4 linked regions of the Diceros bicornis minor genome follow. The protein of the gene in region 4 purifies or fractionates together with the protein of the main gene of each other region. This does not show direct contact. Links are inferred from orthologs where the notes say so. Each region holds a gene or a part of one and is shown on either strand. Other genes may lie near its edges.

Region 1 (7,315 bases), on a different chromosome or scaffold from region 4:
ATGAGCTTGATCTCAAAGGATATTTTGTTCTTATTGTTGGCTGATAATTTATTATGTTGACTAATGATTTATTACTATTTGTACTAAAAGAATATATTCAAAGATATACCAAATCAAACACATTTTATTCTCCCATAGAACTCATATTTGAAAACTTTACATTCAATTATTCTATAAATGAATTTAAGAAAGTGTGTTAATTCTCTGTGATCCAGTTTCTTCAACAAGTAAATGTCAAGAAAAAGAAAGAGACAAACAGAGTCAACTCAATTAAATGAAATGCAATGAAATGTGTGGACTGTGTTTGGATCCTGATTTCAACCAAGCAATCATAAAAAAACATGTATGAGACAATCGGGGGAATCTGAACACTGACTGGATACTTGAAGATATTAAGGGATTATTATTTTTTTTTATGTAATAATGGTACTGTGTTAAAAAGGGCCTTTATCTTTTAGGGATGCCTACTCACTTGTTTATGAATGAAATAGATATGATATCTGGGATTTGTGTGTAGGTATTTGGGTGGATGGAGGAATAGGTGGGTATAAATGAAACAAGATTAGCCACATGTTAATACCTACAGAAGTTGAATGATGGATACACCATGGTTCATTGTACTATCCCCTCTGCTTTGGTATGTGTTTTTAAATTAAAAAACTATTTCATTATGCAAAACCAAAAGTGTCCAAGGAAACAAGTAACCTCTTTGTCCAGTGATCAAATTTAGCATCACTAATGAGACAACCAGACATCACGTGCCTCCTGATGTGATGCAATGAGAAGTGCATAGCATCAGCTATAACATATTGTTAAAAACACTCAGATCTAATCAAGTCTTGAGACCTAACTTTAAGTTTGTAGAAAATACAGAGAAAAGAGAAACGAGTTAAGTGACACCATGAATAAACAATCAGATAAATCCAGAATGTCAGACATTCAAAAAGCCTCAGTTTCTTCAAAAGCAAATGTCATGAACAAATACTAATACCACTAATAATAAGGTGTATATGTGTGGGTGGACTGTTTTTGTGCCAAGGGCTCCGCTCCCACCCCCATGGCAGTCTGGTGAAGCCAATGAACACTTTTTTCAGAATGTTTTTAAGTGTACAAAATAAAAAACATAGGATTATAAAAGAAAACAATTATATTGAAATACAGCTATCAAAACATCTTAAAATATGATATGGTAATGTACATGCTTCATTTTTAATGCATTAAATAACAAGATCTAACAGCAGGTCTAATAAGTACAATAATTTCAAAGGAATGATGAATGTAAATATCTCTGAGATATATGTAGGAACTGTAATGTGATATGAAAACATCTGATTTTTATTGTGACAAAGCCACGTGTGCTGCTGATACTATTGTAGTTTGGTACCTTCATTTATAACAAAAGGAAATGCTAAATTTCACAAGTTCGGTGAAAATCAAGATGTAAGTTTTTCCCATCCAAGTTCACGGACCCTTTGAATTGTATCCATGGACTCCTACTTTAAGAATTTCTGGTCTAGAACGTTAAAAAGATGAGCTCTAACAACCAAATGCAATACATTGTCATTTAATGGATCCTGTTTTGAAAAAACAAGCAACAAGCATACAAATATAAAAATATTTTAGGAACAAGTGTGGAAATGTGGAGTAGAAATCGTATAATTTTAGGGAATTATTGTTAATCGTGTTGGGTGTGACAACAGTATTGTGGTACGTAGGAGAATGCCTTTCTATTTTGGAAGTACATACTGAAGAAATCAGACATGATAGGTGCTGATACAAGGCAAATACGGGAAAATACAATTGTTGAAATGAGATGATATATAATGTATTCTTTCTACGTTTCTGTATGTTTGAAATTTTCATAATAAAATATAAAATAAAGTGACTTTTGAGATATTTTTATTAAGGCATAATGTGGATAAGATAAAGTGCATTACTCGTAAGTGTACAGCTTCATGAATTTTACATAGGTAAACACCTTTGTAACCACACCAGATCAAGATATAGAACATTTCCAGCTCCCTGAAGTTCCCTAAGTGCCCGTGTCCAAGTCAGTGCCCCCTTCCACTCCAGTTAATCATGCTCCTGATTTCTAACACCATCGATAAAGTATATTTCTTTGCTGTCTGGTTTCCTTTGTACAACATGTGTTATATTAACACAAAATTTTAGAGACTGGTATTACTTTGTTAGGCAAGGATGTCGCAAAACAGGCCTTCTCCTAAATTGCTGGTTGAAATGTAAATTGATGAAGCCTTTCATAAGACAGTTTAAAATGCCCACATCCTTTGATTCAGTGATTCTACATCTAGGCTCTTAAAAAAAATAAAAGCAGTGTGCACAAAGATTTAGGTTTGAAAGACGTAGGTTTCTAACAGTGGAAAATTGAAAGCAACCTAAATGTCCAGCAACAGAACCAAGGTTAGATAAATTATGGTCTATTTATACTATGGTATGTCATGACCAATTAAAAATGTGAGATGGACACATGTAATTGGAGTGATCTCTAAGTCATATCGTTAAGTTAAAAAAGAAGAAGACACAGAACAATACGTACAGTCTATTTACGGTAAAAGAAAAAACAATAGGGAGTACAGAAAAATGTCCATGCCAACTGATGGGGAAGTAAATGAGGGAAAATAAAAGGATTCTTGAAGTTTTGCCCTGTATTTTATACTTGTGAATTGTTGCATCATGAACAACCCAAATATTCAAGTATCACTTGTATAGTTAAAACAAAGGCAAAAAATTAAGTTTAATATAAATAAAGAACATAATGAGGCTGCTAGGATAAAGAACTCTGCAAGGATCCTCCAACAACTGTAACAGTAGTACCTTTGTTGCGGGAATGGGCAGATGAGGGACCGAGGTGCGAAAGGAACTTTTCACTATCTTCATTTTTATATTTTTAAAATTTTGAATTATTGAATTATTTTAAAGTATTTTTATTCAAAAAGTTTAAAAAAGAAGTGTGCCGGACAGTTTGGTTGGGGTCACAAAGAGGCCCTTGCCCCTTTCTTTGATACTTGAAGGAGTAGTACCAGCAAGGTGGTGTATAGACAACTGGAATGGCGGTTCTTTGTGGATTTCTGTGGCCCAAGAAGCCATTGTGTTGGAAGGAAGATGGAAAAAGAAACCGGAGTCAGATAAATGGAGAGGAGTCTAGAATTGGTGGGATGCATAGCACGCTCAGGGGCGGGTTTAGAACAGCCGTGGAGACAAGTGTAAGGCCTGAGGGATGGTTGAGCACTGCTTGTGGACGCACTTGAATGCCAGGCTAAGGACTTTGGGATTCCTCCTCCTCAACGTTTGTTGAGCACTGATTCACTGTTAAGCACCGCAGAAGCCTTTCCATGCAACTATCACAGTAAACCGATGGAAAAGTGCTATTATTCTCCCCATTTTGCAGCTGAGCAAACTAAGGACTTTTTGAACATGGGAACGACATGAGGAAATTCGTTTAAGTTGTGTGTATATTTAATAATAGCCCAAAGAAATTAGGTGACAAAAGATTGCACAAATAGGGCAAGTGCAGAACTCCCGCTTAGATATTATACGGCATTTTTCGCGTTAGCCTCTTTCGGTGGCGCGCAGAACTCCATTATCTCGAAAAGCCAAAGCTCGATCCCCAGCCTGCCTAGTGTCTCCCATTCTTCCTCATTTCCTGGAAAAGGGTATGAGCAGGCGCCGACAAACGGCCATTAGTGCCACCAAATAAACTGGCAGTGAGCTTGCTAACCAACGAAACTTCTAGACGCCGACTCCATTTTCTGGCCAGACTGCTGGCCCTAAAGCTGTCCTATGCAGAAACTACTCGAGATGCTTTTGCAGGTAGGCTTCAGAGGCAGCCTTTTCTCTCAGGCCACTTCAAAGCCCACATCATTGTGGCCCTATATTGCCCATGGGACTCCACAACTGGGCTTTTCCCATTCTTTTATCGCCGGTGATGCACACCGCCACACTTCCCCTCGCACCAACAACGCACAAAATCAAATCCAGGCTTGAACAACCCCTGGCGGTCCGGGAGCAGGTAAATGGGGAATGGGGGGGGGGGGGGGCCAGGGGCACCGCCCTTCCCCCACCCCGCGGCGCCTCAGCCGCCTTGGAACTACCAATCCCGGCGTGCCCCGGGGCGGCGCGGGCGCAGGGGCGCGTGCGCGGCGGGCAGCCGTTGGCTGGAGCGGCGGCTGCGCGGGTCGCGGTGCTGTGAGGTCTGCGGGCGCTGGCAAATCGGGCCCAGGATGTAGAGCTGGCGGTGCCTGACGGCGCGTCTGACGCGGAGTTGGGTGGGGTAGAGAGTAGGGGGCGGTAGTCGGGGGTGGTGGGAGAAGGAGGAGGCGGCGGCGAATCACTTATAAATGGCGCCGAAGCAGGACCCGAAGCCTAAATTCCAGGAGGGTGAGTCTCGGCCTTTTGGGAAAGGGCACCTAACGGCGCAGGAGAGGGAGGCGGGCTTGATGTGGTCGAATTTGGGGGCCCGGGGGCGGCCTGGGCTGCGCCCCGAGACGGCGGCGGGCAGGGCTTTGTGCAGAAAGCGCATTGCGGCGGGTAGTTTCGGTGCGTCATTGGGAGAAGACGCCGTGTGAAGCGAAAGCGTCCCGCGGGCGTGCGAGTGGGAGAGCGCGCCTGGCGCGTGGCAGAGCCGTAGTCAAGTGTTTGTTATTGTTCTGAGGAAGAGGGCGCGGAGAAAGTAGCCTATTGTCGGGCGGCGACGGGTGCGCCATGGCGGCGCTGAGGGGAAGTGATGTGGCGGAGGGGAGGGGAGGGAGCGGCGGCCGGTTCGGGCGCTCGCACGGGGTCTCCGGCCGCGGGGGCGGCCAGCGGCGGGCGCTCCGGAGCCGCCTCGAGCCCCAAGGTGGTGGCGTTCGGTGGAGCCTCGGGGCTGCGGCCGGGGGGTGGGCTTCGCGCCCCGCGGCGGGAGAACTGCGTTGTAAAATGGCCGCTGCGAGATGGCTGGCGCATCATGGCCGCCGGCGCCGGCCGCGGCCGCAGCTCGAGGGCAGATGCAGCGCCCCCTTCCCCCGCGAGCGCGCGGAAGCCGGTTCCCCCGCGCCGACCTCGGGGAGAGGGGTAGGGGCCGGAGAAAGGAGCAGGGGCGTCTTTGTCTGCTTTGTGTCGCCCGAAGGCATCGTTTTGCTCTCCGAAAAGCCCGGTGCCAAGATCCGAAGGGAGAGTGCGCGCGCTCATGCTGTGCGATTGCTTGTATAAAAACAAATAAAAGCTCCTTTAATGCAGTATTGTGATGTTTCCATTTATAAGTCCTATTGCCTTGATGTCATCTTTTAAATACAGCAACTGTTTGATTAATTGCAATAACGTTTAATAGTAACTTGAAAGTTGAGATTTTTATTAATTGGGTTTTGATCGACAGGTCTTGGCTGACGGTGGAACCTGACTTCCAATGGAAGACAGCTCTTTAATTTTCACAATTAACACATGTATTAATGTATATTAAAGTGGAGGCTTTATAGTAAACTAAAGTGGAAATAAAACGCAGCAGGAACGCTTTAAAATTACCTTTTCATTGTTATGAATATATGTGCTAGTTACCATAGATGTCCAGATGTCTGCAAAAAAATTTTCTTGTAAGGATTTTCAAACGTTAATGTGCGTTAGGATTACCGTTAGAGTCATATACTCAAACCCCAAGTATATTGTAACCTTATGGAATATTTAAGAGTTTTTCAAGGGTATTTTTGATAATGACAGACTCTTAATACCTGCCTTCTCCCGTTTTGAGAAGCTGTGACTACCTCCTATGGATTCTTTTTTTTAAATCGCGTGTTTTAGAGCAGAGATTTTAAATCTAGAGTTAGTGGATTTAATTCAGAAGATCCGTGAACTTGGACGGGAAAAGTTTTTCTTTTTTTATTATCTAACTGAAATTTAGTATTTTAATTATGAATGTGGGCGCCCCCACCCCCGCCAAAAGAAAAACCTAGCAGTAGTAGTGGCAGTGTGTTTTCATATCCCAGGGTTTACAGTTGTGGGAGATATAGTCGGATGTCACTTATGCTCCTCATTACTTCAGAATTATGATAGTTACTGGATCTGCAGCTAAATGTTTACTACATCAATTAAAGAGCTCATGTAATATAGAAAATGATATTTAAAGTGTTTGGTAACTATTCCAATACAGTAGATTTCCTTTGTAGTACTGTGTTTTGTGTGTTCATAAAAACATTTTAGGAAAAGTCCTGTAGCCTTCACTAAACTGTCGGGTCCATGGCACAAAAAGTTAATCCCTACTGTAGGATATCAAAGGAAAATCTCTGAGGCTTGGAACAGTCAAGGATGGCTTTCTGGAGGAAGTGCTTTAGTTCTAAACTTAAAGAGATGGTCGAGTGAGGGGGGATAACGGCGTAGGGAACTCCATGTGCTGCTATTGTGGTGAAATAGAGAAGAATAGGAACCAAGGTACCCTTATTAAGTAAGGTTTTGAAAGCTACCTAAGAGAGTCTCTGCCCTTAACCATCACTTTCCAGATGTGTTTTCTACTCTTGTGTCAAAGCTGAGTTGTATAACCATCTTTAAGAAATTATAGTTAGTTATTTTTAAGACATACTTAGAGAATATATTGTAGGAAAAAGTAGAAATACTCAGTGCCAAGTATATCAAAATGTAGAAAAATCAATGTAGTGGAAAAATGAGTTATCAGAAGTAGTATTGTTTTCCTGATTCCTTTAAACGCCCAAGTTTTTCTCATCTAATAATGGTACAGCATATGCTGTCAGCAATTTTTAAGCACAGTGACTGTTTTGCACTGCACTTGAAATTCTGTTAAAGCATAGGGTAAAGAAAACTGTTGGGCGTCTAGCCCATTGTCAGAGGGAAGGCCCTTTTGCCTTGTCAGGAATTGAGAGACTGATGCGGGCTTTTGAGTGATGTTCCTAGTAAGCACAAACCAATGGGAAGATGGGGAATTGGAATCTCATCAACCTTGAATTTGGGAGCATTGGGCAGAATTACCTTTGTAGTTTGCTGGAAAGGATTAAGAGTGGAGAAGGATCTAAAAAAATGTATCTATTACAGTGGTTTGCTCTTTCCCCAATTGCCAGTCTTTCTCTCCACTTCCATAATAGGCATTTGTTATTCTGTGGTGCACTCCCTAGCTAGCTGTATATTTTTTCAACAGTATTAGGGCCAGGTTGCTAGAATGGAGGTCAAAATTGCACTTAGCATCAGTGCAGTTTTCTTTGACAGCAGCAGCCAGAGGGGGGTGTAGGGCCATTTTCAGGGTGCCTTTAAAGTGTACCTGGAAAGTGAAATTAGGAGACAGAGATCTGATCTTTGGTGCTGCTGTTTATTAATGCTG
Region 2 (7,282 bases), on a different chromosome or scaffold from region 4:
AGCTGGTGCTGGTACCCATCCGACTTTCAATGTAGACACTCTTCTTCAAGGAGGTGGACAGCTCCTCCTGGAGGGGCCCAGGGAGAAGATAAGTACAAAACTTTCCAGAGATTTGTCCCTCTATCCCCATCTCTATGAACACCAACGCTTCACCTCTTGGAGGCCTCCATTTAGCAGGGTCAGTTTCTTCATTTCTTCCTGCTGGATCTGTTTGCTGTCTAGCCAGATTACCTCATTGGAGAGCACGGGCTTCAGATCAGGGGTTGGATGAAGCTGGCCTTGGAGGCTTTTGAAGATCAGAGCCAGGGACCGGGGCAGGATCCCTCCATCCTTGACGGTACCTGGAGGTATGTGAATGACAGATAGCTGAGGCAAGTGCTGTTCCCCAACTCAGAGCATCAAAAGGCAAAGACAACACCATTACAGGCCAGTCAGGAATCCTATGAGGCCTACTAACCTTGAATTGTGTGGGTTTTCCCTGAGTTGGTGACTCCATATGTATAGATGAGCCAATTCTGCCCTTTGAGTACGTCCTTTACCATCTCCTTCACGGTCAGGTTGAAGAAGGATGCCTGTCCCACTTCTGGCCCAAAGATCTAGAGACAGACCCAGTTTCTCAGAGGCCCATTCTTCATCTCCCACTTGCCTCCTGTGCAGAGCCAGCAGATACATCCCTTTTTGGGTGGCTGGCTCTGGAGACTACTCAAGCAGCTTCTTCCTGCAGTGCTGCCAGCTGCTCCCTAAACACTGCAGACTCAACCACTCTCTGCCAGTCCATCTTTCATCCAAATCAACAAATACTTAAGGAATGCTGTCCACTAAGTCCGATGCTGCACACACAATGGGACAACATAATGGTCACAAGTGTGGACTCTGGAGATGGATGGATCTAGATTCAAGTCCTAACTCTACCAATGACTAGCTACATGGCTTCAGCAACATTACCTTCATTGAGCCACAGTATCCTTGTCAGGAAAAATAGTGACAATAATAATAATAATAATAATGAGTTGTTGGGAATTAATTCATATAAAGTACTTGACACATTGACTAGCACACAAGGGTCCCCAAAATTGTAGACATGCATATATAAGGAACTCGTAGTGAAGTAAAAAGCTTTCCCGCTAAAGAGGGAATGAAGTACCCCCTACACGTTGGTCCCTTGTTCACAGACCAGTACCTCCGTACCTGGGAAAAGGTGAATCTGTGGGTTGCTTGTCCAATTCCCCGCTCATTGCTCTTCTGGGCAAAGGAGTCCTTGGGTGCCTGTAGAACAAGGGTCTCCACATTCTCAATATGGACACAACCCTGAGAAGGGGGAAAACACAGTTGTCACAGAAGGAAACGTTCCTGGGAACCTCTTCTGTACTGCATCATTCTACCTTGAATCCTCCCTCCTCAGAAACTCACCTGATCCTCCTGTCGTTCCAACTCTGAAGGTAACAAGGGCCTGACCCTCAGGTATACTTTCACCTTCTCTGTACTATCCTCAGATGGAACCTGTGGCAGAATTCCAGGCCGGAACTACATATTAATCTCAGCAGTTATTTAAGATTGGCAAACATAACACAGTTCCTGGTAATCACGCTAACATTCTACCTCAGATGTTTCTGTGCAGCTACTCTTTGGTTCCATAATCATTCCAACACACATGGACTTTTCCACTACTTTATCACCCTTCCCTGTCTCTTCAGTATCCTGAAAACCTGGCTTAACACACTGATTATCTGAGTTAGAACTGTTGACCGGTATGAAAATCAGCCTGTGATATTAAGGCAAAGCACAGTAGTTAGGCACCTTGGAGGCAGACACACCTGAATTTGAGTCCCAATTCCATCATTTAGTAATTTTGAGACCTTGAAAAAGTTATTTAGGGCCGGCCCCATGGCTTAGTGGTTAAGTGCACGTACTCCACTACTGGTGGCTGGGGTTCAGACCCCGGGCGCGCACTGACGCACCGCTTCTCCAGCCATGCTGAGGCCGCGTCCCACATACAGCAACTAGAAGGATGTGCAACTATGACATACAACTATCTACTGGGGCTTTGGGGGTAAAAAAAAAAAAGTTCTTGAAATTTCTTTGCCTCAGTTTCCTCATCTATAGAATGGGGTTATAATAGCACCCACCTCATTCATTCAACAGATATTTAGAGAGCTGCCTACTATGGCCCAGGGACTATGGTAGTCCGCAGTGAGGGACATTATCAAGGTTCCTGCTTTCATGAAACTTTCTCTATAAAAGAGGAGACTTCTAAGTGGAGCTGTTCTCAACCAGGGCCATTTCCCTCCCAAGGGAACTTTAGTAATGTCAGGAGAGTAGTCTTGGTTGTCACAAGTGGGAAGGAGCTACTGACATCTAGTGAGTAGAGGCCAGGAATGCTGCTAAACATCTTACAACGCACAGTACACCCCTGTATATCAAAGAATTATCTGGCCCCAAATGTTAATAATGCTGCAGCTGAGAAACCCAGCTTAGCAGAAAGAAAGGCTCCATAAATGGAAGCAATGGCTGATTTTAAAACCTGAATGTACATTCCACCTACTTGATGGCTGTATGACCCTATGCAAATTATTTAACACCTCTGGGCCTCATGGTGAAGGAGAGAGAACTATTAGCCTTTCCTCATAGGATTACCTGAGAGTATGCACTGAGGGTGTTTCATTAATGCAATGCAAATAATACTTCTCATGGACACACAACTCTACATTTTTTACTTGTCATCTCTTAATTTTGAATTGATCTCTCAGACCCTCAGGATTGCTGGTTTTTGACTTCATACTACTCTGTATGGACAACTAGTAGGCTGAGGATATCACTTTCTGCCCCCAAACTACTGAAGGGGAACAGAATATGCCACCCCAAAATGTGCCACTCTGGCAAGTGGATTATTGTGAGCTGAAAGCAATTATGATCCAGCAGACTCAAGAAAAACTTTACCTCTCCCTTAACTGTCTAAAAGATTTTACAGAGGGGGCCTGGCCCAGAAAGAGAGCTATTACCAGAGATAACTTTTTATCTGAAAGACTTATCTACATGGCAGGGCAAACATTTGATTACCAAACATCTGCTCTTATTATCTTCCTGTGAATTGCCCTCCTCCCCTTTGAAACCCCAGGTCCCTATCCCATTCCTTAGCTCAGGATGGCATCTAAGCCTCAGTTGCCTGACTGCCTGTATGTACAAAATTAAATTTGTTTTTCTCCAGTTAATCTGTCTTACGTCAGTTTAATTATTAGAACAGCCGAAGAACCTAGAAGGGTAGAAGGAAAATTTTTTCTGCCTGGGTACCCCAAGCCATTCTCCAACCAACTCCTTTACCTGCTGCTTGTCTTCCAGGGAGGTGGAGATGACAGAGCAGTCTGACAGGAGGTCCTTGCGTACCACAGACCCCAAATCCGCAGCTGTGGACTCAAACATGGGGGAGACTACGACCTCCTCATCTGATAGCAAGCCGGCTGGCGGAGAAAGGATCCCTTGCGACATGACAGCAGGGGCAGCTTAGGTCTAAAAAGAGACAAGGGTGGGTAGGGAGGAGAACCTTAGGGGACAGAGGGGCTGCAAATTCTAGGTAAGAAAAAAAAATTCCCTTGCCCCAGGACACCTTGGTCTCGCTGCCTGAATTCCCACTCCCTTTTCCCTTCAACTACCAGCAGAGGGGAAGGGGATGGGAGGAGTTAATCATTTAATCCAGCCTGAGGCAGCATTTCCGACCTCGAACAGGAATGAACAGATATCTGGCTCCAAAAGCAGAAGGCCACGATCCAAGCAGGGTGCCTTGCCCACCGGTGTTGTGGAGGTAGTGTCAGTAGGCTAGGTTCCTTCTCCAACCTCGGCCGGAGGCCCACAGTGAGGACAGAGGTATTAAGAAAACAAGGGATGGCAGCAGCACCGCTTTCTGAAAGCCTATTCCGCGAGGGCAAGAGCTGGTACTCCAGCTGGGCTCCAGCACAGCCCCACACTCACCTGAAGACGCGACACTTGGTCCTTCTCCGGTCACTCACACTCTGCCACCGAACCTTGATTTTCGCCGCCGAACCTGGACTTTCGCTGCCAGAGAGCACAACTCCGCCCACGAGGCACACCTTTTGTTACTGATACAATGTTTTAAATTACGCGCTGCGTTCGTTCGGCCAATCAGATAGCGAAGCTTGCAGCTACCAATCAGCGCAAGGAAAGGGGGCGGGCGAGGCTGGGAGACCGTTTGCTCGGGGCTTTGACTTCTCCGCTCTAATGTGGGTCCGGGTTACCAACTGTCGGAGTTTGGAGTTGGGTCGGCTGAAATCCTGCCCGCTTAACACTTTTTCTTGAACCCTAGGTATTTCTTTTCTAAGAAGCCTAAAGGAAATCCTGAGGCTTCAGCCGCCATCCTTTGTTCTTCTTTAGCACATTCCTTCCCAGGTGCGCACAAAGAGACCTGGTTTAGGGTGCTTTTTCGTCGCGCGTTGGGGTGTGGGACTCCATTTCCCAGGAGGCACCGCGAACAAACTCCCGGACTCTGCTTCCCAGAGTTCCCCGGGTTTCGGCCCTGCTAGGCTGTCTCGCCTCCGGGGTTGGAGACATCGGGGCCAAGATGGCTACAGGAACGGGCAGTAAGTATCTGGGCTGCTTTTGCGTGGAAGGCGTTTGTAGAGCGGAGGCCAGGCGCCAGATTTTCTGCCACACGCTTAGGGAGTAGGAGCAATGATTTGCCTGAGAGCCCAGGGTCTTCAGAGACCTTTGCTCGACGGTGTCGTGAAGGCCAACGGTTAGGGGCCTAGCCGTGTTGAATCTTGTGTCTCAGGGAGGCCGCGGAGATTTGAGAGAAGCAGCTCAGTGAATCCTTGTGTGTTTGGGAGCTCTGTGGGGTGAGAGATAAAGGTGCTCTAGAGACTCGGACACGCGGGTGGAGAAACGCTGTGGGCCATACGGAGTGGCCGGCATTCATTTTCTGACTAACGTTTGTGAGGCCCGGTATTTTAACCGAGAGCTTTTTGTGCCATTGGGGAAATTGGGTTTCATGCATCTCAGCCATTTTCGTGTGTTTCATGGATCGAAGAGGTCTTTTAAGCCCGACAGCTAAAGGGAAGTGGAATTACTGAGAGAAGTAAACAAGTTTTTGCGAAGGAGGCGGGGCAGTGGGGGCGGGGTAGGGGGGGTGGCGCTCGGAGTCGTGGGAAATAAGCCCTTGCGTTCAAACTGGAATAACGTATTCTTAAAACTGGGCGTTTTGGGAGAAGTGCCTTAAATATAAGGCGGTTCTCCCAAACTGAAGGGAAACTGACATTCCCCCCACGTTTTTTTTTTTGAGTAAAGCAGAGTAGACATGGCATTCGAAGAAATAAAATCTTTTGCCAGATAGAGTACAATTCGCATGCAGTCAATAGGGACCGCCTCAGTGGTTGCATTTTACTAGGAAGATGAAAATCAAGATTTGGTGATAGCTCTCTTTGTCCTTAAAAGTTGGTTGTATTGTTTTGTATTAGGCGTCTAGTCCTACCTTTGGGGCTTTTTTTTTTTTTTTTTTTTTTTTTGGTGGGGATGCTCAGTCCTGAGCTAACATCCGGTGCCAGTCCTCCTCTTTTTTTTTTTTCTTGCTGAGGAAGATTGGCCCTGGGCTAACGTCTGTGCCCATCTTCCTCTACTTTATATGAGACTCCGCCACAGCATGGCTTGACAGGTGGTGGGTTGATGTGCACCCGGGATCTGAACCTGGGAACCCTCAGGCTGCCAAAGCAGAGTGTGCACGCTTAACTGCTGTGCCACTGGGCTGGCCACTTGCCTTTGGGGCTTAGAACCACTGTCTTAGTGGTTGTCTCTAAGCCTTCTCTCATTTCAGAACACAAGCTGCTGAGTACTGGCCCCACAGAGCCGTGGTCTATCCGAGAGAAGCTGTGTTTAGCGTCTTCTGTCATGAGGAGTGGAGATCAAAATTGGTAAGGTATCTAGGATGTCTCCTTTCATGGGTCTTAGAAACTGTTGGGTATTTTTTTACACTGATGGATTCCATACTAACCTTTGAGAAGTATTTCTTTTTTAACAGCTTTATTAATTCACATACCATAAAATTAAGCCAGTATAATCACAGAATTTAGTGTATTCACAGAGTTGTGCAACCGTCATCACAGTCTAATTTTGGAACATTTTCATTACCCCTAAAAGAAACCTCTTACCCCTTAGCAGTCACTCTGCAATCTCCTCTACACCTCCCTAACATCCATCCCCCCACCCCTAGGCAACCCACTCATCTACTTTCTGTCTCTCTAGGTTGCCTATTTTGGACATTTCATGTAAATAGAATCATAATTTGTGGCCTTCTATGACTGGCTTCTTTGACTTAGTGTAATGTTTTTCGAGGTTCATCCAAATGGTAGCATGTATCAGTATTTTATTTCTTTTTATGACTAAAATAATCCACTGTATGGGTATGCCACATTTTGTTTATCCACTCATCAGTTAATGAACATTTGGGTTGTTTCCACTTGTTTTGACTATTATAATTAATGCTGCTATGAACATTCGTATATGAGGTTTTGTGCAGATGTATGTTTTCAATTCTTTTGAAAGAGTGGAATTGCTGGGACGAATGGTAACTCTATGTTTAACTTTTTTAAGGAACTGCCAAACTATTTGTAAAGGGGCCCCACTGGTTTACATTCCCACCAGCAGTAAATGAGGGCCCCAATTTCTCTGTGTGCTCCGCAACACTTATTGTCTGTCTTTTTGGTTATAGCCATACTAGTGAGTGCGAAATGGTATCTCATTGTGGTTTTGCTTTGCATATTCCTGATGACTAATGTTGAGCATCTTTTCATATGCTTATTGGCCATTTGTATATCTTCTTTGGAGAAATGTCTGCTCAGATCTTTTGGTTTATTTATCTTTTTATTATTGAGTTTTAAGAATTCTTTCTATATTTTGGACAGAAATCCCTTGTCAGATAGATGATTTGCAAATATTTCTCTTATTTTGTGTGTTGTCTTTTCACTTTCTTGATTGGTATTTTTTACAGCACAAAAGTTTTTAATTTTGATATGTCCAATTTATCTATTTTTTCTTTTGTTGCTTGTGCTTTTGGTGTCATAGTTAAGAAACCATTTACTTCTATATTTTCTTTTAAGAGCTTTATAGTTTTATCTCTACACATTTAGGTCTTTGATCCATTTTGAGTTAATTTTTGTGTATGTTGTAAGGCAGGGGTCTCTTTTGCATTTAGATACCCAGCTGTCTCAGTACCCAGTATTTGTTGAATTGTCTAGGCACTCAATATTTCTTTTTTTTTTGTGTGAGGAACATCAGCCCTGAG
Region 3 (7,480 bases), on a different chromosome or scaffold from region 4:
GTCCTGACGCCCGTGGGTGCTTAACTCCCAATCCCAGAACCTTGGGCTTTAGTCCTCCCTCCCCACCTTCTGGTCATGTTCCTCCTCCATCACTGAATCCTTCCACGTGCACTTCTCTTTTTCATTTCCTCAGAATTTGCTCCACAAACTGCTCTGCTTGCTTTGCTCTCTTTGCCTACTCGGCTTTCTTCATATTCTTTCCTCAGTGTCTTCTCGTTTGCTAAGGCATTCTGCCTTCCCCCGACTAAATGCTGCAATTTAATGTTTCCTTTGGTCATTCCAGTCCTAAGGGAAGGAAAAGTTGACAACGTGTCTTTAAATAGAGTCCAGGACCTGGGAATTAGAAGGCCTAAAATCAGTTCTTGGCTCTAGTGTTTTCTAGCTGTGTTAACCTGGCTAAAATAATTTCCTTACTTTTAGCCTGAATTGAGTCATCTACAAAATAGGTTAATAATATCAGCCTTACCCACCTTATTAGGTTGTTGTATCTAAAGAAATAAGGATGTAAAATTTCACTTAAAAATTTCTGTAAAAAGGAAGGAAATTTTTGAAATAGCGGGCAAAACTATTAGGTTCTGCACCTCCACCCCACCCAGCCCCAAACCACCTTTCTTCAGAGGTGAAAACGACCCCCCAGAGATGTCTAAAAGAGGGTAAGAAATTACACTGCCTCTGAGGAATGTATCAGGAAGGTGTGTGGGTATGTGCGGGGTGGGGTTCTGGGGGGAGTAGTTTACACATAGTCCAACAACCTGGCCCTTTTCAAAGAGAAAGGAGATATATGTGTGTTGACTATTTACTCACTTAACATTTATCATGCACTATAAACTAGGCACTATTCAAGTATCTAGGGTTGCCTAAACAAAAACAAAAAACCTGCTCCTGCCGTGGAAGAGTTAACAGCCTAGCATGGGAGGTAGATTCTTGGTGCTCTTGTCAGTAGACTCTGGTTCAAATACTAGCTCAGCCAGTTTGTAGCTGTGTAAACTTGGGCAAGTTATTTAATCTCTGTCAGCCTCAGTTACCTCATCTATTGGAGAAAATATTAAAAATAATTAACAGAATTTTGTGAGGACTAAATGACATTATGCATATAAAGTGTTCAACAAAATGTCTATCATGTGGCAAGCTCTTAATAAGTGCTATTATTATTATCATTAGTATTGTTGAAATCAGAAGCAAAGTGCTATGAGAACACAAAGGAGGGAGTGATTCATTCTATCCTGTTAAGTCAGAGATGGATTTACAATGGAGATACTACTTCAAAGATAAGACTAAGTCAGCTTAATGTCTTAAAAAAACTGATCCTGAAGTCGAAGACTTAGATTTGAAACCTAGCTCTGTGGATTTTTTAGCTATGTCATCATAGGAAAAGGATTGAACTTCTGGAGCGCCATGACGTTATTTACCTTCATGATGTTGTTGTGAGGATTAATCAAGCTACTGAAGGTAAAGACTTAGAGAGTGCCAGACACAATAGAATGGTAGCTATTATTATTAATTCACTAGGCAGAAAATGATGTTTCAGGCAGATGGAACACAATTATGAAAAAGGACAGAAGTGTCAGTGTCCAAGTTCTTCTAAATGGCAAGTGGCCTAATGTTGTGGCTAGAACAAAACATGGATTCCTTTTCAAAGTAATAAGTCTCAAAGAACCCCACAGGTTAATAATTGTAGTTATAGTATCTTTTTATTGAGAAAATACATGGTAATAATTTCAATTTTACTCTCCCTGGATTGAGAGAACACATAATGTCACAAAACCAACATAAATTCAGTGTTTTAAATTAGTTTACATTTTGGTTAATTGCTTTTTAATTATCCAAGTATAATTTTCAAAAATTTAAAAACATGACTGTCATACAAATATATAATGAACGTGCATCAAAGATTTATTAACTTATATTAATGCAAGAACCAAGAAGATAGGGTATAAAGCTAGTTCACTCATTAATATGACAAATAAATCTGTTGCACATGTTCATTATTTATTTATTTTTATTATTATTATTATTTTTTGCTGAGGAAGATTCACCGTGAGCTAACATCTGTGCCAATCTTCCTCTATTTTGTATGTGGGTTGCCACCACAGCATGGCCACCAATGAGTGGTGTAGGTCCGTGCCCAGGAACCAAACCCGGGCCGCCAAAGTGGAGCATGCCAAACTTAACCACTTTACCAGCCCATCATTATGTATTTATATCAGAGTCATGTTTTTTAACTCTTTTAAAACTATACATTGCTAAAATATACATGTACATACATGAAAATTAATATTTATATATGTGAGATTATTTGTGCTAAAACCTGGGAGAGGAATGTGCATGGTGTGCAAGTGAATGGAGTTAGAGCTTTTACTGAAAAGTCTGTGCTGAAGCTGGCTCATACTGGCTCATGAGAACCAATTGTGTGCATCTCTTTCCAATTCTGTGTTTGGTATTTGGTAACCTCAGGATAGCTTGAAATCAGCCATTGTTACAATATTTACACCACAGAAGGTAGTAAACACTACAAATCAGGGCTTTTTTTTCTTCCTGGAGATCTTGTTAAACATTTACCAGTACACACTGTAAGATGGATTTTAGGGGAATGAGATTGCAAATGTATAGACATTATTTCACAGGCAATGTCAAGCCACGGAAGACTTCTGTGGTGAGTGAATTTAGGGAGAATGATCAATTTTCTGATTTAGAAAAATATTTGCTGATAATTATGCTGGCAGTACAGAGGACAGATCACAATGAGAAGAGAATGGAGGCAGCAAGGGCATTGAGAAGGCAGTGGCATTATTTCAGGTGAGAAGGCAGTATCAGTAGAGATGAAAGTCAAGGACAGACTCCAGAGATTAAGTCAAGGATTGAGGTTGAAGGTAATTGAGATTTCTAGCTTGGGGCACTGGGTAGATCTTGGGGGCACAACACTAATTGAGATAAGTAATATAGCTGGAACAAGCAGTTTTGGAGATAAGACTCAGTTCTGGATTTGTTGCCTTTAAGGTTATCTCAGGATATCTGGGTAGAAACATTCAGATTACAGTTAGGGGTGGAAATTCTGCTTTAGGATTTATCAGTACGTAATGAGAGCTGAAGCCAACAACAAAAATGATCTTGAACCAAGAGCGAGTAAGTTAGGAAAGCAAAAAGAGAAGCTTAAATGACAAAGGGTAAAGACAAATGATAACCAGAAGGAGAGACAGAATTGAAAGAGCATGTTTTAAAAGATGAGAATGAATAGAAATGATGGCTGCTCTATGATGTAAGATTTATAAAATATTCTTTCCATGTTTGGAGTTTAATCAATTTAATATTAAATTAGAGAAAATAGAATGACTAAAATTGAGCATTTAACAATTTTTTGATACAAAGGGATATTGACACCAATCAAGTGCCTGACTTCAAGGAGTTTGCCATCTATGCAAGTTAACAGAGAATGATCATATAAGAGGAGGAGGAGGAGGATGATAACTACTACCAGGTACTTGACTTTTATAATTTACTTTTCATAAAACAATTCTGCAAGGGGGCGTTATTAATATAATTCCATTTTACAGATGAGGAAATTAAGGCATAGAGAGGTTAACTAACCTGTCCAAGCCATCTAGTGGCAGAGCCAGGATTTGACCCAGAAATTTGAATGCAAAGATGGCACTCCTAACCACTATCTCTTTGATTTCAATAATAGTACCTACTTCATAAATTGTGAAGATTAAATTAGTTCATATATGTAAAGCTCTTAGAACTGTTTACCCACAAGCATTAAGTAAGTGCTATGTATTAACCATTATTATCTTCACCGCCCAAGGTTACACAGACATTATGTGGCAGAGTCCGGATTCCAATCCAAAATTCGTTCTCTTAACCATTATGATATTAAAGGAGTTTGCCCTAGTCAGATGTCGAGAAGCGTTTTTAGCTTCAGATAAGAATGACACAGAGCTCTGTCCCGAAGAACAAGTAGACAGAGGAAGAGTAAGAGAGTGAGTGGAAAAGCAAGGCGGCTGACAGAACAACATATTTGTATTTCAGGGTGGTCGGCTCCTACAGTCGGATGGGCAGTTGCGGGGACTGAGGGTGAAGAGATCTCAAATCCAATTCCATGCTGCGTATGGTTTTGCACTTTATTCTTCAAGAAATGTCACTGTGTGAACCATACTATTCGAACACACACACACACACACACACACACACACAGCTGGTTCGCTACAGGGGGTTGGAAGAAACTTGCAGGAGCGAGTCAATCTGCGAAATAAAGAACAAATACGCAAAGGGAGATAAAGCACTCAGCAGTTTCCACTCTTGTTGGATCTCGCCACGACTTGTATGGGTTAGGCTTGGAAGCACGCTACAACTCGCGCTGACAGGCAGGGCGGCAGTGCGGTCTCTGACTTCCGGCGTCCTCCGTTGCTAAGAGAGACCGGAAGCGTCCTTACGCCCCGCTCTTGCAAACCATAGAGTGCCGGAAAACGTGTGAGCAGAAGGGACGGGAAGAGAACGCCACGGCGCCGTCGTTTGTGCTAAAATGACGACTTTAGTGCTTGATAACGGAGCTTACAATGCCAAAATCGGTTACAGCCATGAAAATGTCTCGTAAGTGTTTGCTTCCTCCGAGGGTCGAGGCGTATATGCCTAGTAGTTTCACATGCTACCCTTCATCCTGGGACATCAGTAAACTGCAAACGCCCCCGCGCGGCCTTAAGCTGAGCCAGAGGGATGCTCTTGTTGGAGCTGGGTGGTTAGGACGCTTTGAAGGGTGATTTTAGTGTTCATTTTGGGCTACGTGGCCCCGGAAGTGGGACGTGTGTTTCCTTTCGTAACAGGAAATAGCTCAGGAAAATAGTCTTGTAGAGAAGCGGTTGGACACCAAGTTCATGAACCCTCAGGAATCGTGGGCAACATTTTGTGTGTATATGCATCTTGTTTGGGACGCGGCTGTAGCTTTCGTCGGATCTTTAAAAGGTTCCATGGCTTTAAAAAAAAGTGTAAAAACCACTGTCTTAGTGGCTGGAGACTTTGAAGAGTTTGAAATTCAAATAGCATTAAACTGGTGAAGGTAACCACAATGAGAAAGGCTTTGTGCCTAAGCCTTTCGAGGTGCTCATTGGGTGACCTGGTTGATTAGAGTCAAACAGAAATACAATGGCATTCGTAATATATGTTTGAATAAAGAGTAAGCAGATTTAAAGACACGCTTTTCTTCTATCATATTCATAGAGGATTTATTTTTCTTTTCCTTTCTCCCTCTTTTCCTTTTTGTGTTTTAAGAGGACAAACTGTAGGAATGTAGATTGTTACAGTCTTCTGGAAAACATTTTGGCAATGTGTATCATTCTTCTTATTCTTTGACACAGCAATTCTATTATCAGTTATCTAAGGAATAAGAGGTATTTGATAAAAGTAAGTACAGGATGCTCTATATTATTTATAGATATTGTGTATGGTAGCAAAAAAAAGTGGAAAGCAACCTAAAAAATCAAGAATGGAAATTGAGTAAAATTGTAATACAACCATAAGATTGACTACAATGAAGCTTTTAAAAATCATATCCTCAAAGAATATTTAAACATATAGAGAAAATGACAGCATAGTAAGTGAAATAAGCAGGTACCAAACATTTTTACAGTATTATCCTAATATCTTCCCTCTCTCTCTTTCTCTGTATGTATACACACACGTATATATACATATACATATGTACGTGTGTTTATGATTGATAATGGCTCTAGTTTGCCTTCCTAACTAGATTGTAAGCTCATGGTGGGCAGCAACCATATTTAAAACTACTTCCTACTTCTGTACCCTATAGCGTCTTGCTGATTGAAAATCTTTGACTTCCGGGCTGGCCCGTGACTTAGCGGTTAAGTGCGTGGGCTCTGCTGCTGGCGGCCCGGGGTCGCATCCAGGGTGCGCGCGGATGCACCGCTTTTTCGGCCATGCTGAGTCCGCATCCCACATACAGCAACTAGAAGGATGTGCAGCTATGACATACAACTATCTACTGGGGCTTTGGGGGGAAAAAATAAATAAATAAAATTATTAAAAAATATATATTAAAAAAAAAAGAAAATCTTTGACTTCATGGAAACTTAATTTCATGGCCAGAATTTTGAACTTGTAAATCTTTTACCAGAATGGTAGTAAGAATTTCTGCATTCAAGTCAGAAAGACCAGGAACTTTACCTAAGCCCCAGCTCTCATCTGTGCAGTGGCAGAACCAATACCCGCCTGTAAGGATTCCTTGAGGATTATTTGAGAAAGATAAAAGGTCCAGTATAGAACCTGGTATATACTAGAACCTTAAAGAAAAAAGAAGACTTTTTTTTATTATTTGAAGACAGATTGGGAAACTGCTTTTGCATATTTTGGGGGAAACTGCTTTTGCATATTTTGGCATCGAGGGTGATGACTAAGTAAATGTATTTTTAGGAACTAAGTATTTAGGGAATAATTATATTATTTGTTTCTTTATTTATAGGGTTATTCCTAACTGTCAGTTCAGGTCAAAAACGGCGCGACTTAAAACTTTTACTGCTAACCAGATAGATGAAATAAAGGACCCTTCTGGACTCTTTTACATTCTTCCTTTTCAGAAGGTAATTCAACTATATGTTATTTCTAGCATTATAGACCTAAATTTAAAGATAATTTTTAAATGTATGTATAAGATTTTGTATGTATGAAAAAATTTTTAGGTCTCTGTTAAGAGTTATTTAAATTTTAAATAAGATCTTTTTAAAACCAAAAATTGAAATTAAATTGTCTTGTTAAAAATAAATGACCCTGGTTTAGTTACTGATTGTGGGTACTGAATTTTACTTGTTTATGTTAAAGCTAAACGAGATGAACACATTAGAGAAAATAAGTATAGGGGCCGGCCCAATTTCATAGTGATTAAGTTCCACGTGCTCCGCTTTGGTGGCTCGGAGTTCGCAGGTTTGGAAACCGGGCATGGACCTTCACCACTCATCAAGCCATGCTGTGGTGGTGTCCCACATGCAAACTAGAGGAAGATTGGCTGTAGATGTTAGTTCAGGGCTTCTCTTCCTCAAGCGGAAGAGAAGAGGAAGATTGGCAACAGGTGTTAGCTCAGGGCCAATCTGCCTCACCAAAAAAATAAATAAATAAATAAAAATATAAATCCCTTTTATTTTTGGTGAGGAAGATTGGCCTTGAGCTAACATCTGTGGCCAGTCTTTCTCTATTTTGCACGTGGGACACCACCACAGCATGGCTTGATGAGTGGTATAGGTCCGTGCCTGGGATCCAAACCTGCGAACCCCCAGCCTCCGAAGCAGAGCACATGAACTTAACCACTATGCCACCGGCCCGGCCCAGCCTCCCTTTTAAAATATAAAAAAAAAAAAAAGAAAAGAAGTATAGAGAGGTATATCTACATATTGTTATTTCTTTTGAACCCTTGACGTTTTGGTTATTGTTAATTTGTAATTTTTTGAACCTTTAAAAACAGAAAAACATACCAATA
Region 4 (6,709 bases):
AAACTAGAGGAATGGTCGATTTGACAGCCAATCATGTACTTATTTTGTAACTGTCTTATTGAAGTGATCTTAATGATTAGAGCATTTTCAAAATTTTCCTCCCTGTCTAATCCTCTCAGCTAGATCGAGGGAGGAACCTAGGCCCTATATATCCTGTCTCCCAACTGCTCTTGCCTGGCGTGTTGCCTGGCACGTTAGTGCAACTTAATGGCCATGTTTTAGTTTACCTAAGAGGCTGACAGCATCAAGCTGGAATACACCACATCTGTCCCTTTATTAGCAAGGGATTACGTATCCTGTGTTATGATGTGTGGTATTGCATCTCATCTCAGGTACATATGTACAGACAAAAGACGATAATACAATAAAAATAATGTGTTAAATGTCTACAAATATCTTCTTGCCATTATGTTAGAAATGTATGATAGGGACACTATTGTGCATGTGGATTTACAATTTAGCTGGAGGGGTAAAAGTTACAAAATACTAATATAGGAAAGTGAAATCTTATTTGGGAAAACAATATTAACACATAGACTCCCTCCCTCTGCCTAGCAAATCCTAGAGATCAATAATAGATAATGAAAGGATAATATAAGAAAAGACACTCGATTTTTTATATTAAAACAGCAAATTTCCAAAAATTCTGAGGACTGTTAAGTAAGGAAAAAATAAGTTCTGTATTAAAAGAGATAATGGGTCCCATGATCTTTGAATTATTTTTCCTGAAACGGCAGTGGATCAGGTAGAGTAGATTCAGCTGATCTTCTTGTAACCTGCGCCCTGTAGTATTTGTGAATTAAGTGTGTATAATCTGTGGTCATGGGAAGTGTATAACTGGGCAATTTTGCATTTAAATCCGTGGCCTTGGCTTCATCAACACTGAGTCAAACACACAGGCTTCTCTTAACATAATCATATTTATGTTGAGAATTCAGGGAGAATAACAGGTTTTGTGCCACAAATATTAAAACACCATTCCGTATATTCTTCATACTTCATGAAATCCTCTCACAGTTCTATGAGGTTGGCTTATCTGGTGCTGTGAATTCCTATTTAATAAATGAAGAAACCGTGGCTTAGAGTTTAACTTACTTCAGGCCATATAGCTAGTGAGTGGCTGCCAGACGCATTCTCCGCTCTTACACTCCAGGTCAGTATTTTGTATTCTACTGCACTGGAACTCAGTTATCAACCACTGAGCGAGTTGTTGAAGGTACATCCTTTCTTGGATGCTCTAGGTAAAATAATTGGGAAGTCGTTCCTATTTGCTTAAAAATAGATGTTTAAAGCAAGACGTACTTGAGAAATTTGAGATTCCCAAGTGTGAGACTCTCTCTCAAATTCTCAATGTAAAAAGTCAAGAACAGTAGTTAACATACATGCTAGTGTTTGAAAGGAGATAGTAACTGGTCATAGAAAGTCGGCCTGAGTTAGGGAAAAGCTATTAAGGAGAGAGTCAATAATATTAGGGCCATCGAATTCTTTGTTTAGTTTTTTATGACAAGAGAGCACTTATTAAGTAGCTAATTGAGTATGACATTGAACAAAAATAATTATATAGTTCTGGCTATGTATATTATATACATGTATTAGTATAAACACAAATACAGGGTAGATAACACAAGAATATTAATGTATTTGCACCATGCCTTTTCCAGAGCAGCAAAGACAGTAGAAAATCTTCACACAACTGTTGCGAAAAGTGGAGAAACTGATATTGTCCTGTTCTCCAAAGGAAGAGGAAAACTATTGAATGTAGTAAACCAATTTTGGATTTTAGTCTAGATGTTGGATGACTTGGGTGTGTACACTTTGGGCAGCTTTCAGGCTGGCTGCTTCCACATCAAAGGAAGGTAACGTACTAGACAGGAAAAAAGATTTAGGAATCAAAAATATTTTATTTCACCCCTCCCCAGCAACCATTGTAGAAGATAATAGTAGTTATCATTGAGTGCTTACTGTGTGACAAACGTGCTGGAGAGCACAGTGCATACCATCTCCTTTAATCTTTTAACAACCACGTGGAAATAGGTGTTACTACACCGTTTTCATAGAAGAGGAACTTGAAGCTCCAAAAGATTAGTAACTAAGATGACACAGTGAGAAGAAAGCAGTGTAGAATTAATTCATGTCTACCTGCTCCTGAGCTGTTCTCTTAACCACTATTCAGTGAGACAGCAGTGAATTCCTTTAGTTGGGCCTCATAGCAAAGAGCACATATTCTCTAAACTGGAAAAGGTATTAATGTTGGTTTGTGAGTTATAAATCAGGAAGTCTCCCTGGAGTGCAGGTTAACTATTACCTCAGGTTTCATAGCTTTTTATTGTCATTATATCAGTTCAGTGGGGAAACTGATTAACTCTTGCTATTGATGACATCATAAGAATGCCTCAGTTCCAAGGGCAAGAAATAATAAGCCTTAATGTCAAAATTGTTGGGAACCTCTTCTCTAGAATTTATCTCCCAGACACAGGGAGGTCCCTTAATTTGATAAGCTCTTTCAAATTGAAACCCAATCTAAAATACTTAAGAATACATATTCCAAAATTTCTTCACGTTGGAAATATTGAATTACGTTAATGTGTAATATGCTATTAAACACTGTAAATATTAAAGACTTAAATCCCTACTGTCTCTAAGCAGTTGGAGATGTACACAGGTGTTATTAATCTATTAGTTGGAAGACTAGCTGGCATCATGATAGTACTGTGCGTACAGTACTATTTTTTAAGCCCACCATTTGCAATTGATTACATGGACCATCTGTAACTGCCTGTGAATCATGTGGGGAGTTAGCCCACTGACATTTACTGAACATTTGTCATGTGGCAAAATGTTTAGGATAGAAAAGTTGACACAATAGCTTTGAGGTTTCACTAAATCAACTTTATAGACACCAGGCTATAGGCACAACCTACCAATAGTAGTTTGCAGAAAAATCTGGTGTACGATTCAATTAAAGAAAAGAATACCGGGCCAGCCCAGCGGCTTATGCACGGTCTCCCCTACCCGTGGCCCGGGGTTCAGATCCCGGGCGCGCACCAACACACCACTTCTCAGGCCATGCTGAGGCCGAGACCCACATACAGCAACCAGCAGGATGTGCAACTATGACGTACAACTATCTACTGGGGCTTTAGGGAAAAAGAGGAGGAGGATTGGCAAAGGATGTTAGCTCAGGGCCAGTCTTCCTCAGCAAAGAGAGGAGGATTAGCATGAATGTTAGCTCAGGGCTGATCTTCCCCACAAAAAAAAAAGAGACAAGAATACCGCCTCACCCAGAGCCCTCCCTACCTAGACCAAAAGGTCTTTTGTGTCCAATGAGATGACTGCTCCACGGTTTGTTCCTATGGAATTATCCGTGGGGGTTTTCAAAAGTGAAGAGGAAAGAGGAGGTGGGAGACACAGCTGAAAATGAAGTGGGACCGTGATCAGCTGGCGGCTGGGGACACGCAAAGGGGCAAGAAACGCAGAACCTCCATAGAGGCTGTGGTTTGCGGAGGCCTCCGGGCTCCTCTGACTGGACGGGTTCGCGCCACCTGTCACACAGGAGGGGAGGAGCCGCGGGGACGCGCAGGGGGCGGGGACGAGGGGCCCCGGAAGGAGGCTGTGGGCCTCCGGGGGTGGGGGAGGGGGCGGGAAGTACCCCGTGGCCACTTCACGTGGTCCCCGGAGCCCGCTAGGAAACCGGGGGCCGCCGCTCTCCGCCCCTCCCCTGACCCTCAGGGCCTCCTCCCAGACACGTGACCGCAGCCGGCAGGACTCCGCGCTGCCGAAGCAGAGCTCACTCTGTTTCTTCCCTCCCGCCGCCGTGCCCTTCTTCTGCGTTCCCATCCCTCCACCGTCCCCCACCCCCCTCCCCACGCCCCAATAGTGGTTGGAGCTTCGAAGCGCCCGCCCCTCCGCCCTTCTCTTCGCTTGCTCATTGGCTGAGTCCTCAAGGACGCGTCCCGAGGGCGGGCAGCGGCCATTGGTGGGATGAGCAATCCGAGTTCCCGGATGAGGGAACATTCTGCAGTATAAAGGGAGCGGGGAAGGCGGGAGACAGCGCAGTTTGAATCGCGGTGCGACGGCGGAGTAGGCGCCGGATCTCGCTGGGTGTCTGACTAGTCTTTTTTCTGCCTTGCTTGTCTGAGCTGCCGCAGAATTGGAAATGGTAAACTTCGCGGAGGCGCTCGAGGACCCCGCGGGTTTGTGCCGGCGGGAGGAAAACCCGTTAGACACGCAGACGGGGTGAAGTGGCGACGGTTGGGAGCGCGCGGAGACGGGCTTGCAGCGCGGGGGGAGGCGTTTCGTCGGCGGCGAGCGGAGCAGGCTCGGGTCTCGCGGCGGCGGCGGCTGGGTGGTGCGCGCGGCGCCGCCGGGGGCCGCGGCGGGAGCGGGCGGAGGCGCGCGGCCGCGGCGGGGGCCGGCGCGCGGCGGGCGGGGTGGGGACCGCGGGCCGGGCGGGGGCGGCCGCGGCGCTCGGCGCCGTGGGGGAGGGGCGCAGCCCTGGTAATCCTATCTCCGTTTCGGCTTGGCTCGGGGCGTGCGCGCCGCAGGCTGGCGGTAAGGCTGGGAAGGACTCCGGAAAGGCCAAGACAAAGGCGGTTTCCCGCTCGCAGAGAGCCGGCTTGCAGGTCAGTGGCGGTGGGCGCAGCTTGGGCATCGCGGCGGTTTTCTTCTCCCCCTCTTGTTTACCGTCGCTCTGGGTGGGCGGTGCGGCTTTGCGTGGGCGATGCGGTGTCGCGACTCGGCCCGCCGACACAATACCTCTCGGGGAGGGGCGGGCGCCTTCTGCGCCGGCGTCCCTGCGCTCGCTCGGGCGCGCGTGGGATTTCGCCGTCTTTGACTCTTGCATCTTTGTGCATTTATGTTTGCGCTTGGAATGAAGTTCCCGGTGGGCCGCATTCATCGGCACCTGAAATCTAGGACGACCAGCCATGGACGTGTGGGCGCGACTGCCGCTGTGTACAGCGCAGCCATCCTGGAGTACCTCACCGCAGAGGTAAATGGGTGTACGCCTATAATCTGGAAGAGGTTTGGGGGGGTGTTGAGGGAGGCGGCGAGAGCAAAGGAGGAAAGTGATGCAAGAAAACTCCCAGGCCCTGAGCGCGCGAGGAGGCTCTGAGAACGCTAGAGGGAGCTGGTGGTCGTTAAGGGGTCCTGCTGAGCTTGAGTTTGCTGCTCTTGGAAATAAAATTGCTGTATGCGTCCTGCCTATGGTTTTCGCATGTCTTGCTATTCAGGTAGTGGGAGGTGGTGACGATTGGTAGCTTTAATGAAGATTTGATTCTACTCTCTGGATCTTTACTTTAAGGAAAGAAGGAAGGAGATTGATTAGATTCTGCCTTCTAGGTACTTGAATTGGCAGGAAATGCATCAAAAGACTTGAAGGTAAAGCGTATTACCCCTCGTCACTTGCAACTTGCTATTCGTGGAGATGAAGAATTGGACTCTCTCATCAAGGCTACAATTGCTGGTGGTGGTATGTAAATACTAAAATTTTATTGTAGATTTCTTTAGAGAAGAGAATTCTTTTTTAGTTCTCATTGGTAATTTTTAGTTTAGAAGAGGACCCAAATATATTTTCCCTGATCTGCATTATGGTTGCATCCTTGAATTTTGTTTATATATATAACTTAATGAATTTTTACTCTGCATTCTTGAGCTACTGATTTAAAGACATCTTCCAAGTTGGACGTTGAACTGTCTTGGCTTTAAGTACTGTGTGATTTAAAAAAATGTATATTAAAAAGTAGAATTTCTGTCCCTCTCCTAGGTGTCATTCCACACATCCACAAATCTCTGATTGGGAAGAAAGGACAACAGAAGACTGTCTAAAGGATGCCTGGATTCCTTGTTATCTCAGGACTCTAAATACTCTAACAGCTGTCCAGTGTTGGTGATTCCAGTGGACTGTATCTCTGTGAAAAACACAATTTTGCCTTTTTGTAATTCTATTTGAGCAAGTTGGAAGTTTAATTAGCTTTCCAACCAACCAAATTTCTGCATTCGAGTCTTAACCATATTTAAGTGTTACTGTGGCTTCAAAGAAGCTATTGATTCTGAAGTAGTGGGTTTTGATTGAGTTGACTGTTTTTAAAAAACTGTTTGGATTTTAATTGTGATGCAGAAGTTATAGTAACAAACATTTGGTTTTGTACAGACATTATTTCCACTCCGGTGGAGAAGCTCAATAAAGGTCATATCCCAAATTAGTTGCGTTTTAAATTCGCTTGATTGTAATAGGAACTACTTTGTTTTGAATAAGTATCTCATCCAGCAATAACTTAAGCATATTTCTTTCCTTGAAATTAAACCTTTAATTCGGTAGATCAACTAAGTCAAAAGACCTAAGTGTAATTTTTTTTTGAATGTTATGTAACGAGCTATTGAAGATGTAAAAACTTGTGCAGGGGCTGGAATGGGACAAGTTACAGTGTTGGGCTGTTTCCAGCTCCGCTCTGGCTGTCCTTGCTGTATGTGCCAGTGCCGGCCCGCGGCCCTGCTGCTGTGGTGGACTTGGGGAGGGCAGGGCAGGTGGGGAAGTCCTGTATGTATCTGTCTCCACAGACGGAACTTTCAGTTCAGAATTTGTATGTGATGCGCTGTTTTAAAGTCGCCCTGAATTGTTCAATATTTGGTGACATCTTTGGGGTACATACTATTACCATTTCACAGAAGAGACAGGATTTCTGTCACTCCCGAGTTACGTTATCTGCTA

Evidence for each region.
Region 1: the proteins of histone H2A.Z (region 4) and MORF4L1 purify together in Homo sapiens (affinity purification with mass spectrometry; 4 studies listed by BioGRID and IntAct, with this or other methods). This does not show direct contact. The link is inferred for Diceros bicornis minor from reciprocal best matches to the Homo sapiens genes H2AZ1 and MORF4L1.
Region 2: the proteins of histone H2A.Z (region 4) and bromodomain-containing protein 8 purify together in Homo sapiens (affinity purification with mass spectrometry; 4 studies listed by BioGRID and IntAct, with this or other methods). This does not show direct contact. The link is inferred for Diceros bicornis minor from reciprocal best matches to the Homo sapiens genes H2AZ1 and BRD8.
Region 3: the proteins of histone H2A.Z (region 4) and ACTR6 purify together in Homo sapiens (affinity purification with mass spectrometry; 4 studies listed by BioGRID and IntAct, with this or other methods). This does not show direct contact. The link is inferred for Diceros bicornis minor from reciprocal best matches to the Homo sapiens genes H2AZ1 and ACTR6.

Annotation. Positions count from the first base shown.
Region 1 is NC_080744.1:71,150,668-71,157,982, forward strand, and holds the start of MORF4L1 (mortality factor 4-like protein 1), read left to right. Parts: upstream 1-4,301; 5' UTR 4,302-4,358; coding exon 4,359-4,398; intron 4,399-7,315. UniProt on the Homo sapiens protein: Component of the NuA4 histone acetyltransferase (HAT) complex which is involved in transcriptional activation of select genes principally by acetylation of nucleosomal histones H4 and H2A.
Region 2 is NC_080740.1:56,788,985-56,796,266, reverse strand, and holds the start of bromodomain-containing protein 8, read left to right. Parts: upstream 1-4,265; 5' UTR 4,266-4,570; coding exon 4,571-4,589; intron 4,590-5,815; coding exon 5,816-5,912; intron 5,913-7,282. Other genes in the region: kinesin-like protein KIF20A, read right to left, coding at 1-67, 154-341, 458-596, 1,189-1,308, 1,411-1,500, 3,319-3,483. UniProt on the Homo sapiens protein: May act as a coactivator during transcriptional activation by hormone-activated nuclear receptors (NR). Isoform 2 stimulates transcriptional activation by AR/DHTR, ESR1/NR3A1, RXRA/NR2B1 and THRB/ERBA2.
Region 3 is NC_080764.1:22,937,781-22,945,260, reverse strand, and holds the start of ACTR6 (actin-related protein 6), read left to right. Parts: upstream 1-4,462; 5' UTR 4,463-4,519; coding exon 4,520-4,587; intron 4,588-6,472; coding exon 6,473-6,590; intron 6,591-7,480. UniProt on the Homo sapiens protein: Required for formation and/or maintenance of proper nucleolar structure and function. Plays a dual role in the regulation of ribosomal DNA (rDNA) transcription.
Region 4 is NC_080747.1:82,677,160-82,683,868, reverse strand, and holds histone H2A.Z, read left to right. Parts: upstream 1-4,051; 5' UTR 4,052-4,156; coding exon 4,157-4,159; intron 4,160-4,544; coding exon 4,545-4,622; intron 4,623-4,876; coding exon 4,877-4,990; intron 4,991-5,340; coding exon 5,341-5,470; intron 5,471-5,764; coding exon 5,765-5,826; 3' UTR 5,827-6,203; downstream 6,204-6,709. UniProt on the Homo sapiens protein: Variant histone H2A which replaces conventional H2A in a subset of nucleosomes. Nucleosomes wrap and compact DNA into chromatin, limiting DNA accessibility to the cellular machineries which require DNA as a template.